2 linked regions of the Lytechinus pictus genome follow. The protein of the gene in region 1 interacts with the protein of each later gene in a biochemical or structural test. Links are inferred from orthologs where the notes say so. Each region holds a gene or a part of one and is shown in the gene's direction. Other genes may lie near its edges. The genes, in order: lissencephaly-1 homolog and nuclear migration protein nudC-like.

Evidence for each region.
Region 2: the proteins of lissencephaly-1 homolog (region 1) and nuclear migration protein nudC-like form a complex in vitro, tested with the Homo sapiens proteins (3 studies listed by BioGRID). The link is inferred for Lytechinus pictus from reciprocal best matches to the Homo sapiens genes PAFAH1B1 and NUDC.

What each region holds. Positions count from the first base shown.
Region 1 is NC_087246.1:17,019,566-17,023,496, reverse strand, and holds the start of lissencephaly-1 homolog, read left to right. Parts: upstream 1-1,234; 5' UTR 1,235-1,379; exon of another isoform or gene 1,380-1,882; intron 1,883-3,931. Other genes in the region: RNA N6-adenosine-methyltransferase mettl16-like, read right to left, coding at 1,086-1,093. UniProt on the Homo sapiens protein: Regulatory subunit (beta subunit) of the cytosolic type I platelet-activating factor (PAF) acetylhydrolase (PAF-AH (I)), an enzyme that catalyzes the hydrolyze of the acetyl group at the sn-2 position of PAF and its analogs and participates in PAF inactivation.
Region 2 is NC_087248.1:5,421,855-5,425,785, reverse strand, and holds the start of nuclear migration protein nudC-like, read left to right. Parts: upstream 1-1,388; 5' UTR 1,389-1,879; coding exon 1,880-1,954; intron 1,955-3,931. UniProt on the Homo sapiens protein: Plays a role in neurogenesis and neuronal migration. Necessary for correct formation of mitotic spindles and chromosome separation during mitosis. Necessary for cytokinesis and cell proliferation.

The sequences.
Region 1 (3,931 bases):
CCAAAAAACTGAGAAAAATCAAGTTAAAAGGAACAAAAACAGTGACTTACCTCGGCTGTCGCGCAAATTCACTTCCCCGTTTTATCCGATCTTAAGTACATAAACATATGGCCATTGAGTCCCCTGTACAGATCGCGCTAGAACTTCGGTCTCTGTATTTGGTTAGTGAAGCCCGGGGGGGCCACTTACATTGACGAGTGGATACCATGCGCGACCAAAAAAACACGTAAAAAGGATGTCTTTTTCACGATAGGGCACGTTACGTACGTAACGTGATAAGGGTGTCAAAAACGCAATAATAATGAAAAAAGGGTATCTATTTCGCTAGGACAATTACGTGTTTAGGGTCGAATTTGCGGGGATGATAAAACAAAATTAAAATGTTTTATAAAGGATGTCCTTTTGGCCCCAACACTTCGTGTTTAGAGTCCGATTTGCGCGAGGTGTAGAAGGTGGGGTCGTACTAAACCAAATGAGGTAAAGCTGACGACCGAAGGACCCGTAACAATAAAACATTCCTGTACTTGTTTAGGGGTTCATTTCAGGGAATATTTGCCATGATCTCGTTTTGTTTCCAATACTTGTTAAGGGTAGGGTTTCACACGCCAATACTTGTTAAGGGGTGCATTTTCAGATTATGGAAATTACGTGTTTAGGGTGCTTTTTGAGACCCCATGGTCGCGCATGGTATCCACTCGTGAATGGAAGTGGCCCCCCTGGGTAGTGAAGCCAACGGAGTTCAGCTGAACAACCAACATAACAGAGACCGAAGCTTTTTAGTGAAGCCAACGGAGTTCAGCTGAACAACCAACATAACAGAGACCGAAGCTTTTGGTCTAAGGCCATAGCGGGTGCACATGCATATCTTATCAATACCGCGGCCGCGCCGCCGTGCCCGTGGCTGGCTAAAAATCGGCATTCATGTCCAAGGTAAATAAACGTCCTCAAATTTAGCAGTAATAACCGGTCACTTCAAAATACAAGAACACGCAAATTATCGGTAATATACACGTTTAGACGATACCTGATAGTGCTTTGAATAATGAGACAGCTTAAGTAATACTGAAAAATAATGGTATTAATACAATATCATTCTATAGATCAATAAAAATGCAATAAGAAACAGCCCAAATTACTGTTGATTTCCGAGTAGTTGCTGCTGCAGACGACGAAGAGACTTAGAAACTGCGCACAAGTTTTCTGCGCATGATATTGCAGACAAGTATCGAAAGGGATTCTGGGTAATTTTTCAACGTGTAGCAAATATATGTGAGTCGGAAATACAGCAACAATATGCGTTGCGAGAAAAATACTTCGAACCAACGGACGAATACCGGTTTATATACTTGATGTTTGGTTGTTAAGTTCTTTATTTTTCGGTGAGCGTTCTATTTTCATTGGAAATCTATAGAATTCGATTCTACATCTAAATAGTTCGCAATTTGGTTGTGTGCTAGGATATGTGTGAAGGAGAAGGTGTAACGTTAGTGCTGGGCAAATGTGCATTCCCATTCCGTAGGCGTTGACATTTGTTGTGCATATTCTGGCCAATGCATGCAGTGCAGTGCATGAGCTGAGTTGAGTGAGAGTGACGTGAGTGAGTGCAGAGACAGAGTTAGAAGGGAGCGCAACATTGCAAGCCAGGCCCAGTAGCAGTGCAGTCATGGAAGTGGTAGCTTCTGCAGTTCTTTACAACTACTGTAAAACTAAAAGTGGAAATTTTTGCGGCAAGATGAAGATCGGCGAGCACGAATTTATGAGCATCTAATCTATTTTAATGCAAGTTTTGAACCGCGGTTCAATTGTGTGTATCGTTTTGGCAAAGAGATTGCACAATTTGATTTTGACCTAGGCCCTATAACTTGTTAGATCTTGTATAGAGGGCGACATTTAAGCAAGTAAGCTTGAGCTCCAAAATCGATCACAAATAAAAAGACATGCACGCCATTGCGAGAATTTGTTCCAAAGCATTGAGATAATTTTTTCAATAGTCGCAGATCAGTATTTAAATTATGATTTTGGAATTTGGTTGAAATATAAATTGCTTTTGCTGTGCGAGATTGGTGAGTGTTAAGATCTGTTTAGTTTTTAAGAAGACGTTGGGTCGATCACCCAGGTTTGTTGATTGAACCCATGCACTTTGAATAGCCGTAATCCCCCTGGTCCTTTATATTATAGGTGCTCGGCCGTCCATACCAGGCCAGCAGTGCCTCCGTTTTGCCTTCCCCGAGTCCACCCTGCAAAGAAATGTTGCGCTAAATGTCACAAAAGCTCATGATTGGATCAAAACAATGCTGAATTACGCCGCTTTAGAGCTAGAATTATGATCAGAATATACAATTTCGTCGCTGAAATGTTAATTAAAACCATTTACAGATGGGGAAGAAGGAAGTGACTTTGGATTATGGAGAGTGCAGCGCAAATTCAAGAACTTGCGAATATTTTTTGAAGCCGCCAAGCGTGAAAAATTAATTCGCGAAAATAAGAGCGTTTACAGTACAGAAGGGTTAAGGTCCAATGACTAAATGGGCCAGGCCTGCTAGCTAGATCTAGTCTAGTCTTGAGGACTCCATGATGATGTTTTTTTTAAATATTTTGACATATTCATCATGGAGTCTTGAATCCCCATCCATATAAGAGACACATGTACACAAAGATGGATTTCCCAAGGAAATCCATAGTTAGAGGGTGAAATCGGTTTGTATTGTCCAATTTTATTTATGAACCTTCAGGCGCCTAATGCGTATAAAGGGATAAAAATTATTTCACTATAAATGGTAAAAATGAGATGTTTCTTACCAGACCCGATCTCCCGTGGATCCCTCGATCCGTTTGTCAACAAAGCAAAGACAATAGACTTGACCCTTGAACCGCTTCGTGATGACGTACTTCCGACTAGCGATGCCGTCTTGAAGAACAATTTATAGATAAAAATTATTATTTCACAAATACTAAAATTTAATACGTGATTATAAATAATAAGTAGCATCTAGGGAAAGTGATTTCTGTGTAAAAAAATTGCCTTTTCCTTTTCAGAAAATCTTAAAATCCGTTTCAGCATGTTTGAAAAATGGAAATTCCGTTGGAGTAGCAATGTCACAGTACTCGGGCTGGTCAGAATTTGTATCCGCCACTAACAACGCTTTGGAATCCACTCTAATCTGATCTATACAAACACAAAACAATTTTAAGAAACACATTTAATATGAATACATCCTAACCTTTCACATTATTAGCATTATTTAAGGGTTGAATGAAATTTTATTGATAATGTGGGGATTTTTGGACATCGTTTTGAGCAGTCGACGACTATTGCCTATCTGCCATTTTGTATTTGAGGAGTACCACGTTCGTGCTGTTACATCACCGAACTAGAGGGTAGCAACACGAACGTGTGTTGCTGCCTACTACGTACGTTGGTTATAATCAAACAATGTTTGGTCGCTTATTTCAGCTTGGGCTTGCGTTTGACCCGCTTGTACAATGTATTTTTGATGTATGATCAAGTGATGGAGTCAAGTGCAGTCACGATGTGTGGATTGTCATGATTGTAGCGAAGTGAGATCGTGTTTTGTGGCCAGTTAGTATTTGTATTTTGTTGAGATTTTGGAGTAATTTCTGTTGCTGTTCTATGCATTTTGAGTAAAGATATGTTTTCTGTGATTTTCAATTTGAAAAGCCACTTTCCGTTTCAAAAGGCAATTTTCAAAAAATCACTGTCCCTTGTAGCATGATCACAGATTTAAGTACAGCACGTCCCCCCAAAAAATGTCCCTCTGACATAGGGCTGAAGTAATTCCAAAATGTAGTATTTTTAATCAAAGGTACATGAGTAGAAAGCTTATTTCATAATCTAACTTCTTGAAAATGTCATTGGTCTCGCTTCAGCGGTTTTGAATACATACACTGTTACACAACAGTAGTGCATTTC
Region 2 (3,931 bases), on another chromosome or scaffold:
AAAAAAATTGTCTTCATATTCATAGTCATACGTCTTCATTGGTCTATCTTCTGCAAATATATGTTTTTCATCAATAAATGTAGACATTAAGGCCCAATGCTTACAGTATTTCATTATTTTTACTCTCGATATTTTTTTTTGTAAACAAAACACAATTCCACCCCCCCCCCAAAAAAAAAATGCCTCTGTATTTTCTGTAAATATGTGTGAAAATTGAAGCTTTTTGTGTTGAATTATCCTGTGAGACCAAAGTTTGAGCTTCACCTGTTGCATCGCGCGCCGGATCGCGCGATTAAAAAAAATCGAACGTTGTTCAAAACGAATATAGCTTCGGTTAATGATTCAGTGAGTTCCCAACTCAGTCAAAGAATATGATCGAATATACGATAGGCTATAGGGCCTATATATTGATAGTTTAGAGAACAACACATTTGAACAATGTAGTTGACATAAATAATGTAAATTAATATCTAGTTATAACAAGGCCGAAATGTTTGGATGAATGTTTTTTTTTCTTTCTTATGGATATACCGTTCATCGGAATCATCCTCCCTTCTTCTTTATTCATGTATAATTATCCCCTCTTATTTGTCTTGTCTACAAGTTCAATTTTCTATAATGTTTAATTTAAAGGTAAATTCCAGTTCTGGTAATAACGATCTCAAAATGACTTTTTACAGAATCTAATATAATGACCACCCAAGTGTCTGTTTGTATATGAATAAAAAATATGTGCCAAAGGATTCTGGGAGAAATTGTGTAATTGCTGAGAAATAAGCAAAATAAGCGCGGATTCGGTCACTTCCGTCGGGTCTTTATTCCAGCAATAATAATACACTGTCCCACATGTGCCTATCTGTGTTGGCGATCTTCAGTGTGATCGTATTTCAGCTTAGATTTCATGATTTCACAAAGTTCAGTTTATGTAACTGTACCAGATCTAGATCCACGATGATATAGTCATACTTAACTTTGGTTTTACAGACTTTCTCACGAAATTAGTGTTTTACTACTGCAACTACGTTCATTTAGCTTTAATGTCAATGTTTGCAATATTATGTTACTGGAGGAAAGGATATATCGTAGACTAAAAAAAATTGTAATTGAATAGAATAGAATAATCATCCTCACCATATGATCATCATCGCGGTCGTCGTCGTCGTCATCATCATGATCATCATGATCACCATCATCACCATCATCATCATCATATTGTCGTCATCATCATTCAATGATCATCACCATCATTAGTATAATCATGGACCTATCAGAAGAATAGAAATGAATAGAGGCCGTCATTCAGCAACTCACACATTTTCCTTGAAACATGGGGTATGAACTACCCCCCCCCCCCCGGCCCCCCATAAAAAAGGGCGCGAGTGAGGATCATACTTCCCATGGCATACTTCGGTGTGTGCATGTGCCTTCTTCCTTCCGCTCTATATAGCTCTCGATCGATCTATTTACTTCCTTACCCCCATCTAACCCCGGCATCTAACCCTTCTCCTTCCTTCAGAAATAGATGGATAAATAAACAAATAGATAGACAGATAGATAGATAGATAAATAAATAAATGAATAGATTTTAACAATTAAAAAAAAAAATAGAGTCTAAATCATTCAAAAAGTCATTGGAAATCAAGACAATTCATATTTGAAACATTAAAGCCCCTAGCCACCCACCCATGTCAGCCCGGCCCCCTCCTCCCCCTCCACCACCACCACCACCACCATCAAGGCCCAGTAGTTTGCTCATGTTTCTAGAATTTTCTGACTCCGCCCTGCATATATTGCATATATTACCCATATATATGCTAGAAAACGAAGACTACCAGTACCGAAATTTATTCATTCATTTTGGTGAACCACATGTGGAAAAATGGCTGAGGATGACGATAGATTTGACGGTATGCTGATGGCAATGGCCCAGCAACAAGAACAAGGAATTCATCAGGTACGTAACTGGCATAATTTCATTCATGATAAGTTTTGATTTGTGTGATTATACTGCATTTAATTTGCTATGCAAGTCCGCAAGTATCAGTTCATCTTGGTCCGGTCCCACGCGTTCATTTTTGCGTTTCTTCGCTTCTTTTAGTTTATCTCGGTCCCACACAACCGCTATCGTGTTTCTTATTCGATTGAAACCATTTATGGCAGTGAGTCCAAACTTCGCGCGTGTCCATACTTCGCGGACGGTCATTATCTCAAAAACTAGCCAATATCCTTAAAATCTGACATCGTCAACGTGAAAAGCGACCTAAAATTACCCTTTAATAAAAATTTCTTTAGGATGAGTTCAGTATTCATGAAAATATTGGCAAAAGATCGGCAAATTTGCCACCGCTTGCGCCCGTTTTGAAGAAATCAACAAGCATCACGATATCACCATTTTGCAAGCAGAAATCATCAAAAATGTGAGTTGAATGTGGTACTAACCAATTCCATAGCATTTTGCCATCAATCTGATATAAAAATATTTCACTTTTTGAGCTTGAGTTTTTGTTTGAATCTCCACAAAAACTTTGGTGCGCGAAGTTAAGTCACATTTTTTCTGAACGGTTTCCAGCACAGCCCGCATTCACCGATCGGAATAGAATTTTGAGATCGCGATACCGGCGAAACCCCTTGACCTACTTTACATTTTCGTCCATGATTTTATAGATTACGATCTTGCCGTCAATGTGGTAACTATTTCTTGAATTGGTTTTGTATAAATTATGAATATTTTGTGAACAAAATTAAGCCTGATGAATATTTTTGAAAAGTGCGCGAAGTTTGGACACCCCATCATACTGTCAGTAGAGGCGCACGGCCAATATGGGAGACTCTTACCAATAGGGGAGACAATCTCCCACATTGGAGACTTGCTTTGCAAAAGGACAAAAGAAACAACACCAACAAAAGCATGATTTTTCCCACCCAAAATTTTGTCTCACTGAGGTCAGAAGCCCATTTGTTTTGTGTGTGATTGACAACAAAAATCCTTATCAAAACAAAAGTAGACGGTGAATTTTTAAAGTAGACGGTGAAAAGGGGTAATTTTTTATGAGGAATCTCCTTATCACATTTTTATTTGCCGCCAAGGTAATCCTTTTGCAGCAAATGTAAACAAAGGAAATTGGTCTCCAAAACTGGAGACTCTCTGAAATTGGATACCCAAATTCTTTACAAAAGTCTCTGATATTGGAGATAATCTCCCACATTGGAGACAGTCTCGGCGCTAGTGTAGTTTCGCACCTCCCCGTTTAATGGTTTTCAAACATGTACAATCTCACCCTAAATAATTCACAACCTAAAATACTTGCATCTGAGCCTCCAAAGTCCAGTAGAAGTTGAATATTTGCCGTTTTGACACTTTTTTACAAAGTTTTACACCTATTTCGGAATCACTCGGTCGCTTCATCAAGCTCAGCGCTGCACATAAGCAGTCGGTACGCGTACAGTACGTACCATCTAGTGAAGTGCAAGAAGAGCGAGAAATTAATACACATAGATTTAGCGATGAAATAAGAAATAATAATGTAGAGCCTTGTTTTGAACTCTAGGTCAGAGAACTTTCCTTCAGTTTACAATTGTATGCTATGTTGATTGTATGCTATGTTGATTTCATGCTAGTAGATTACATTTTTCAATTTTTCACACGCCGTACCATCAAAACAAGGCTCTACATTATTATTTCTTATTTCATCGCTAAATCTACGTGTATTCACATTTTTCACATTTCTTATTTCATTCAAACAAGCACACACACGCACACCCCACACACACCTTCATACAACAAACATCAACCACTCTGCACAACCACTACCGTAATACTTGATGCAAGCTGAAAGAGGGGAAAAAAATCTTTTTGAAGATACCATAGAAAAACTCACTCTTCTTGCACTTCACTAGGTGGTACGTACTGTACGCGTACCGACTGCTTATG